Rattus norvegicus: one gene and its partner. The protein of the gene in region 1 binds, or shares a complex with, the protein of each later gene. Links are inferred from orthologs where the notes say so. Each region holds a gene or a part of one and is shown in the gene's direction. Other genes may lie near its edges.

Region 1 (3,816 bases):
CCACCCAGGTTGTTTAATATTTTGTTTTCTGACAATGGTGATGGTTTTTAAACTGTACTTTAAATCTTTTCACATAAGAAGTAACACAAAGATTAAAGTAGATGCTTATTGGTTTCTCTTGGTTTGTTTTCATTTACCTTTCAAGCTTTTGTTCACATTTCAATGATGCTGAGTGATACTATTAAATCACAACACCTGAGTCATATTTAGTCATATTTCATTATCAATTCTTATGGACCCACATAAACAGTTGATGTTTTAAGACAAGTTGGTATTTGTTAAATCCAGTAGAGAGATTAAAAATGTTCAGTCATTTATCAGAAATAGATGGTGACTTTTTTAAAAATGTTAACTCTTGTCAGAGCTGTGGGTGTGGGAACATTGTTAAGACACAAAAATACAAATATGTACCACAATAAAAGTAAACAGTTTAGCTCCTCTGAAAGCCACAAATGTCAAGACAACCTTCACAGCTGGATGAATATATTGTTAGCCAGCTTTGCTTGTTTATTCTTCGTAACACTCTGTGTTTGACAACAGCTCTGAAGAAACTTTTTTTTTATTGACTACTCAATATAGTGGACCATCAATTTCTGATTTGCTGTTCTCCTTCCAGTACTATCTCACTATATCTGGACCTGTGAAAACAAAGGGAGTGGTTAATGTATAACACTGCAGTCACAGGACAGACAGTAACAGAATTCTCTGTCATTTTGTTGTCTCTGGTCACCTCTGGCAGATGTGGATGTCATTGAATGCTCCTTGCAGTTTCCTGATGATGAATATTCCTGGTGGGACCTCTTCATGAAGATCTGTGTCTTCGTCTTTGCCTTTGTTATCCCTGTCTTAATCATCATTGTCTGCTACACCCTGATGATCCTGCGCTTGAAGAGTGTCCGGCTCCTCTCGGGCTCTCGAGAGAAGGACCGAAATCTCCGCCGGATCACCAAGCTGGTGCTGGTAGTGGTTGCAGTCTTCATCATCTGTTGGACCCCCATCCACATCTTTATCCTGGTCGAGGCTCTAGGCAGCACCTCCCACAGCACAGCTGTCCTCTCTAGCTATTACTTCTGCATTGCCTTGGGTTATACCAACAGCAGCTTGAATCCTGTTCTCTATGCCTTTCTTGATGAAAACTTCAAGCGGTGTTTTAGGGACTTCTGCTTCCCCATTAAGATGCGAATGGAGCGCCAGAGCACAAACAGAGTTAGAAACACAGTTCAGGATCCTGCTTCCATGAGGGATGTGGGTGGGATGAATAAGCCAGTATGACTAGTCATGGAAATGTCTTCCTATTGTTCTCCGGGTAGAGAAGAGTTCAATGATCTTGGTTTAACCCAGATTACCACTGCAGTCTGAAGAGGAAAGATGAGGTATTCAATAACTTAGCCATGTTATGCAATCTAAAGGTGCAGGGCACATTAGTGATCTAGCTGAGTAGGGGCAGCAAGTGTGAAGAACAGAGCACATGTCCTGGCAACAATACACCTCTTTCCTAGGACAGAGGAGAAGGCAATCTAATCTCAACCCTTCGATAAACAGACAGCACTCTTTCTTCTGGCCCCTTGATTTACTGCACCTCCATCTGCGTGGCCTTTCTGTGTAACATAGTTCCAAAGCTCTAGAGAAGAAAATGAAAGAAAAAGTGCATTTGATCCAAAACTTACTGGGCACCCAACCTTCGCGTTAACACAGGCAAAACCAACTTCGTATACAATGAGGCCATACCAAGGGTCATATCCAACTCACTTTCTGCTGGTGATCATGTCTTATGTGTGATGAGAGTGAAACTTAGGAAGAACCTGGACTCAGACCCTGACACTGGGGGAGAGCACCATATTGACATTTGTGAACCTATTTAAAGTTGTGGGTGTTCTCGTCTCACAGTGTCTAATGCCTCGAAAAACTACAGTTGCTTCTTAAGGTCTCTGGTTTTTAGCATGCTATTCAGGAAGATAATCTTCTGAGAAAACATGAACTGATATTAAAAGGTTGAAGCTTAAATACCAGCAAAGTGTGTGTAATTTCATCTGTAAATAGTGGTCTGTATATAAATAAGGACCAGGTTTTCCTGTCCAGCCTGTACATTTCTCAAGGATGCCGTAGACACACCCCTGGAGGCATGGAAAGTTCATGCTGGGATATTTTGCTTCACTATAAGCTACTTTCTTGATTTGGTCTTGGTGTGATTTCTACTAGATTACTCAAACATCATTTACTCTAACACTGATCATAACTTGGTGTTAACAATTCCCCAAACTTTGAATTCATTCTAAAGTGTTAGCATTGATCAAATCTACTTTGTGGTAGCATCTGTTTGTAAACACACACATATTGCCAGATTCTCTACTCAGGTAGAGGAAGTTGCTTTGATCATGTACACCTTCAAATGTTATGCTCTGGCTTTCCACAGAAAGTGGAATTGTTTCAAAATGCATGCTGAAAAAGGAAATAGGATTTGAGATGGCTTAGCACAATTTGCATGGTATTGAGTAAGAGGGTACCTGTGGAAGTTACTATCTGAGAAGCCCATTTAGGATACTTTTGCTAAATCTTCCAAATGAATATAAATTCTCCATTCTTTCCTTCAAAACTTATAGTTCAGAGATAATAAGAGGGTTTTTTTGTTTTGTTTTGTTTTTGACAATTTTCCTTGAAAGAAGAAAGGCATAATTTAAAAATAACATCTATTTCTTCAGCTTGCACATGGTTAGGGCAGCACCCCTTGGGGGCTAATAGATGATCTGATGTGTAAACCTGGATACTGTAGGCACAGTTCCATCTGTAAGTTCTCACCACCAGCTGTCTCACGGGGGTTGTTCCCTCACTTTCTGGAGATGGAGGCCTGTATAAAGGTATGACACACTCTCCAGAGTCACTGCCATTATGTTTAACTCCATATGAGACATTTATGCAGCTGAATTCAATGACAATGACATTGCAGAGATATTTCATAGTGAAGATTAAATGCTCTTTTGAGTATTTCTTACATTTCACTGAATACCTTGATGCTCTGGAATTCTTTTGTAATGACACATAGCTAGAACTTATTAAGAGACAGGTATTAATGTAGATTTAAGCATGAAGTCTGACAGAGGACAAAAGACATATAAAAGAGGGACATGCCCTAGAGTGGACACAAAGTTCTTTTAAAACTTGCTGTTGATATTATTATTATTATTATTATTATTATTATTATTATTATTATTCATGTGAGGGCATGCATTATGGCATGCATATAGAGGTCAGAGGACAGCTTTGCACAGTCACTTCTCTTCTCTTTCTTTCACATATGTTCTGGGGATGGTACGCACATCAGCTGTCCTGCATTGTCGAGTAGCATGTACCTTCACTGAGCTATCTTACCAGCCCAGAGTACAGCTTTCTTATAAGAGAGAGTCACCATCCTTGCATTCTTAAAACTAGATATATAGATAAGAATGACTTAAATATTGGGAAATATTAACCCAATAGTTTAAAACTTTGGCTAATATAGTTAAGATATATATATTTGGACAAAGCAGTTCCTGAACAAATCCTTCTGAAAAGCCTCTACAGTATAGTAAGATGCAGAAGATGCTTATAGATTCTTCCCCAGAAAAACAAAGCAAAACACAATGTGGTTATCACATCACCTCAGGATGGACTTAGAATGGTGAGTTCTTTATCATTCCATGTGCTCTCCTAATATCTCTGTTTCCTGCACTTTCCAATACATAAGTTTGAATCCCATGGAAGGGACAAGAATAGCTTTACTGCCATTGAGATCTATTCTGAGCTTCCCCATGACCCTCAGGTTGAAAGTGAAGAATAGAT
Region 2 (4,288 bases), on another chromosome or scaffold:
CCTCGGGCTCTGTACTGATGAGTGGCAGAGGCAGAGAGCAAGCCGACATATCCAGTGTCTCAGAAATGGACTGTGTAGAACCAAGTCCTTGGGGCGGGCCTTTGTCCAGTGGATGGTTAGGACCGGATCCATCTGGGTCTGGGTGAAGACTTGCTGTGCTCTGTGGCCAGTTTCTAAACCCTCCAGCCTCTGCTGCTGCACCTGGCCAGGACATCAGAGTTAGAGTTGACATCTTTGCTCCCTGCCTGGTACAACCCAGGTGTTCACGACATGGACCATCCAGCCAGCCTCTGACACTCTCCCAACCAAGGGGACCAGCTCTGTTGCTGACACAGAGCATGTTTTCCTCCAAACTCAGAGACACGGGTATTCTGGGAGGTGTGTGCAGCCACCCAGAACCCCCAGGCCGCTCATAACTCCGTGGAGGGTTCACGAGAGGCAGATCTGCTCCTCCCCAGAGCCACACAAGGGCACATCAGAGCTGCTGTTCTGAGGGGCATCTCATGCTATTTAGTCTGTGTTGCTGCCAGAGACAACTGAAAACTGAATGGCTGCCCCTGGTTGTGAGGGAGAGCAGTGCCTGGCATCAACTCAGACAGGTGCCCAAGTCAACTGGTCAACTGGCACTCTCAGGCAAATGCACATTCATACACATGCCAGTGTGTGTGTGAGTGTGTGTGTGTGTGTGTGTGTGTGTGTGTGTGTGTGTGTGTGTGTCCCTGCCAACATGGAGCTGAATGTTCCTCTTCCATAACCAAGAACTCTGCTTTGGACACTCCAGGACATCCTTTGGTCCCTATATTCTGAGACAGCCTTCGTTTCTTGTGCCAGCATTTCTCCTCCGACTCCTTGTTCTTTATCTGCCGATCTTTGCTAGCCTCTGCGGCTGTGGTGCTTTCTTTCTCTTTTCCTCCTGCTTTGTCTATGCTTCATTGTGTCTCAGACATTGCCTCTCTGTTTCCATTCTCTGTTTCCAAACTTTCTTTCTGCCTTTCGATTGGACTCTCTACGTCTCTCTATCTCTCTCTCTGTCTCCTCCCATCTCTGCCTTTCTCCTACTTTTGTCTCTGTTTTCCTGTGAGACTCTCCTGGAAATGCTCAAAGTGGCCGAATTTGAAGTGACAAACAGCGCTACACCGAGAATCCACCCCCGGACTGCGCGAGAGCATCCTCCTCCACATCACATCACCTGGAGCAGCTATTGTGTTTCACTCAGGCCCAGGGAGTTGAGTGGAAGGACCCGGGGGTCTGAGCTCTGACTGCCACTCCCCCATTGGCTCCTGGCAGCCTGTGCTCTGTGAGCGAGCGCTGAGCGGGCTGAGCGACAGTGGGGGGAGACTCTCTTCTATAAAAGGGGAGGGAGTAAGGCTCACAGAACTGCCATAGGGGGATTTGGTAGCCTTCAAGGCTTCCTCTGTGGCACTTCTCTGAGCTAGCGTCAGGGCTCCTTCTGAATCTTGGATCGGCCATCCTATCACCTGATCAGCCAGAAGCCTGCCAGCGACAAAGCAGCACGCAGGTAAGATCCGCAGGGAGCTCAGCGTTTCTGGCTTCATGCATGTGCTCCTGATGCTATGTGAGGGAACCTGTGGGAGCTTGGGCTGGGGGAAGTTAGGTTTGGTTCTGGAACTCAGCACAGGAAATCATAGTTTCAAGGCTAGTTTACAAGAGCCTGGTCAGCGAGTCCAAAGAGCTGCCTGTCCTCTGGAACCCATGTCCTGAACAGTCCTGGCTTCCACAGGTGCTAGCGGTGTGTGGGCTCTGCCACACAGCAGTCCCTATGCTAGTTTTCAGGGTCTGAGGAGAAGGGGGCATCCTGTGTGGAAGACCAAGAGGTTTCACTAATTAGCCTTATTCTTAAAGGTTCACTTTCTCACCGGACTTAAATTACACGGGCTAGGAACATTAATGAGGTTCAGGACTTGGCATTTGCCAAGCACCGGATCGACACCATCAACGCATAAATGAGTGCCGTCCTTTTCATTCTTTTTGAATCATGTTTAATCACCAACAAGGTGCGGATTTGAGTGGCTTCCTTTGATTTCACTCAGAATGAAGTCTGGGGTTGTTTGGTTGAAAGGGAACTAGGAAGAACAGGGAGAGCTCAGCTGGATACCCAGTCTGAGGAGGACTTCCCTTGTAAATTTTACTTTGAAAGGACTTGTTGCTTTCCTGTAAATCACAGCCACTTTACTGCTGGAGGCAGCTAGTTAGGCTGGAGGAAGCTTGAGGAAAGCCATGGGCTCTCTGATAGCAACGCCCATGTTTAAAGAAAGTCTTGTGGAACCCCCAAAGTTTGACATCAGTAAAAAGCTGTCGAGCTTCAGAGAAGGCAGCTGTACACAACTCCATGACTGAACAGTAAAGTCTGCATCTTGTTACTTTTCCCTGGGTGTGTGTTTTCTTTTTTTCTTTTTCTGAGAACCTCTCAAGATTTACAAGTATCCCTTAATAAAGCCTCCAAGCTCTTTAGGTTATTGGGTCTTTTTTCAAATGTCCTCCCACAGACAGCAGACCTTCATTCTCACCAAGGGTTGATGAAATATACACTGATGTCTTTCTAATCTGGCAGGCACTGTTGTCAAGATCTGTCGCAAAACCTTTCAGAATGTCAGTCCTTTTCTGTTCCTTGTCATGGGGGCTTTACGCCTACGCTCTGCTAACCCTCCTCCCTCTTCCCCTCACCGGTGCTCCCATCCCACCCCACTTTGTCTTTTGTTCTGTTTTTGCAGGTCACTCATCCACAGGCTTTGAGATCTGCGTGGGGGGAGCTCTTGAAGCAGCCCCAGCAGGGTGAGTGATGTGTGTGAGTGTGCATGTGTGTGCGTGTGTTTATTGACACAATCCTGAGCCCACTGCTTTGTCCTCATCGTGCTAAGCGTGATGGGTGGCAGGTGACTCCCCTTGTCTCCAGGAGTAGCTGGCAGCTGGGAGTGCGGTATCAGCGGTTCCACGGTTCCACGGAAACTGTGTGGTAGGAGCCACTGTTTTGACCCTTTAGGCTACTCAAGTGGTTGGGTCTGGGCTGTTTGAGAGAACGCATGGAAGGGTAGGATAATTCTCAGGACTTTCGGAGCATTACCTCAGGAATTTCCCATGTATTACCTAAGTGTGTGTGACCACACCTGAGCCTTAATTTAAACCCAATAGCCATCCTTTATTTGTTGTGTGTATAACTTTGCAACAATTCCTTTCCCTTTTAGGGTCTTAATCTCCTCACCAATATAACGAAGATAATAATAATGTTCTTTCCCCTCTGTCACTGCGAAGGCTCCCATGGGAGGCTGTATTTGGTATTTGGTAGGCATTCAGTAAATGTTGTTATGGCCACCTCTCTGGTGACTCGAAATGTCAGGCTTCAGAATGAACTCCTCCCCCCTCTCTTGTAAGACGTCGATCTCGATCTCGTCAGTCATCCCAATCCATCCTGCTGTGCTCTCTCCCAGGGAAACCTGACAAAAGTCAACTATTTCTCTCCCCACTCCCACACATGACGCCATTGCTTTATCTGCTGCTCCCCGCCTCCCCGACATTCCGTCCCACCTCCAGTTATCCTGGCACAACTTTTCCATTGAGCAGATCTCTCCCTCATTCTCCGAGGGGTCTGAAGTGGCTGCTTTGGTTTCAGTGCGGGTCTGAGAAGGTGTGGTCAGCAGATGGTCTCTCTCCCCAGTTTGCTCCTCTTGGCTGATCAGTGATTGGCCGATCTCACTGGGTCTGACAAGGTGGTAAAACAATGGAACCAACACACAGCTGACCACAGTTGGGGAGATGTAACCTCAACTGAGCTGCGCCCTCAAGTCCTTTGCAGCTCAGCCTGGATCCCACTCCGCACTCCCACAGGAGCTCAGTGGTCATATCTATGAAGCACGTGACATGCTCAGGCGGGTGCTCCTCACCGTACCCCGATTCTCCACTGGCCTGATTGCTTAGCCACTAGCTGCGAACATCCTCAGAGTGTCTGCAGTGGCTTCAGCTGCCTCTCTCCAGTCTTATTCTATTTAACTTGATGAAGGTTTACCGGGCAGGTATTATATAGCTCAAGGGGCAGATTGGGGGAGGAGCAGGAGACGACCTTGGCTTTTGCCCTTCCCCTCTCTTTCCGGTTCATCCACTTCCCCATCATCTTCACTTCCTGCTGTCTCTGCCCCCCACCCCCACCCCCAGTGATCCTTCCCTCTGACTTTTCATCTCTCTCCCCCTACCCTCTCATTTTCCTTTTGCATTTCTCCTTATCTAATAAATGTTCCAAATGGCAGTAAGGTAGGGGATTCCTAACAAACCCGAC

The links.
Region 2: the proteins of Oprk1 (region 1) and Pdyn are in contact, whole or in part, in a cryo-EM structure (PDB 8F7W), measured with the Homo sapiens proteins. The link is inferred for Rattus norvegicus from reciprocal best matches to the Homo sapiens genes OPRK1 and PDYN. Residues at the interface, in NP_000903.2 of Homo sapiens: Thr111, Gln115, Trp124, Val134, Ile135, Asp138, Tyr139, Met142, Lys200, Glu209, Cys210, Asp216, Tyr219, Lys227, Val230, Phe293, Ile294, Glu297, His304, Ala308, Leu309, Tyr312, Tyr313, Ile316, Tyr320; in NP_001177821.1 of Homo sapiens: Tyr207, Gly208, Gly209, Phe210, Leu211, Arg212, Arg213, Ile214.

What each region holds. Positions count from the first base shown.
Region 1 is NC_086023.1:18,658,660-18,662,475, reverse strand, and holds part of Oprk1 (kappa-type opioid receptor), read left to right. Parts: intron 1-739; coding exon 740-1,272; coding exon of another isoform or gene 1,273-1,359; 3' UTR 1,360-3,816. UniProt on the Homo sapiens protein: G-protein coupled opioid receptor that functions as a receptor for endogenous alpha-neoendorphins and dynorphins, but has low affinity for beta-endorphins.
Region 2 is NC_086021.1:137,363,575-137,367,862, reverse strand, and holds the start of Pdyn (proenkephalin-B preproprotein), read left to right. Parts: upstream 1-1,359; 5' UTR 1,360-1,519; intron 1,520-2,732; 5' UTR 2,733-2,793; intron 2,794-4,288.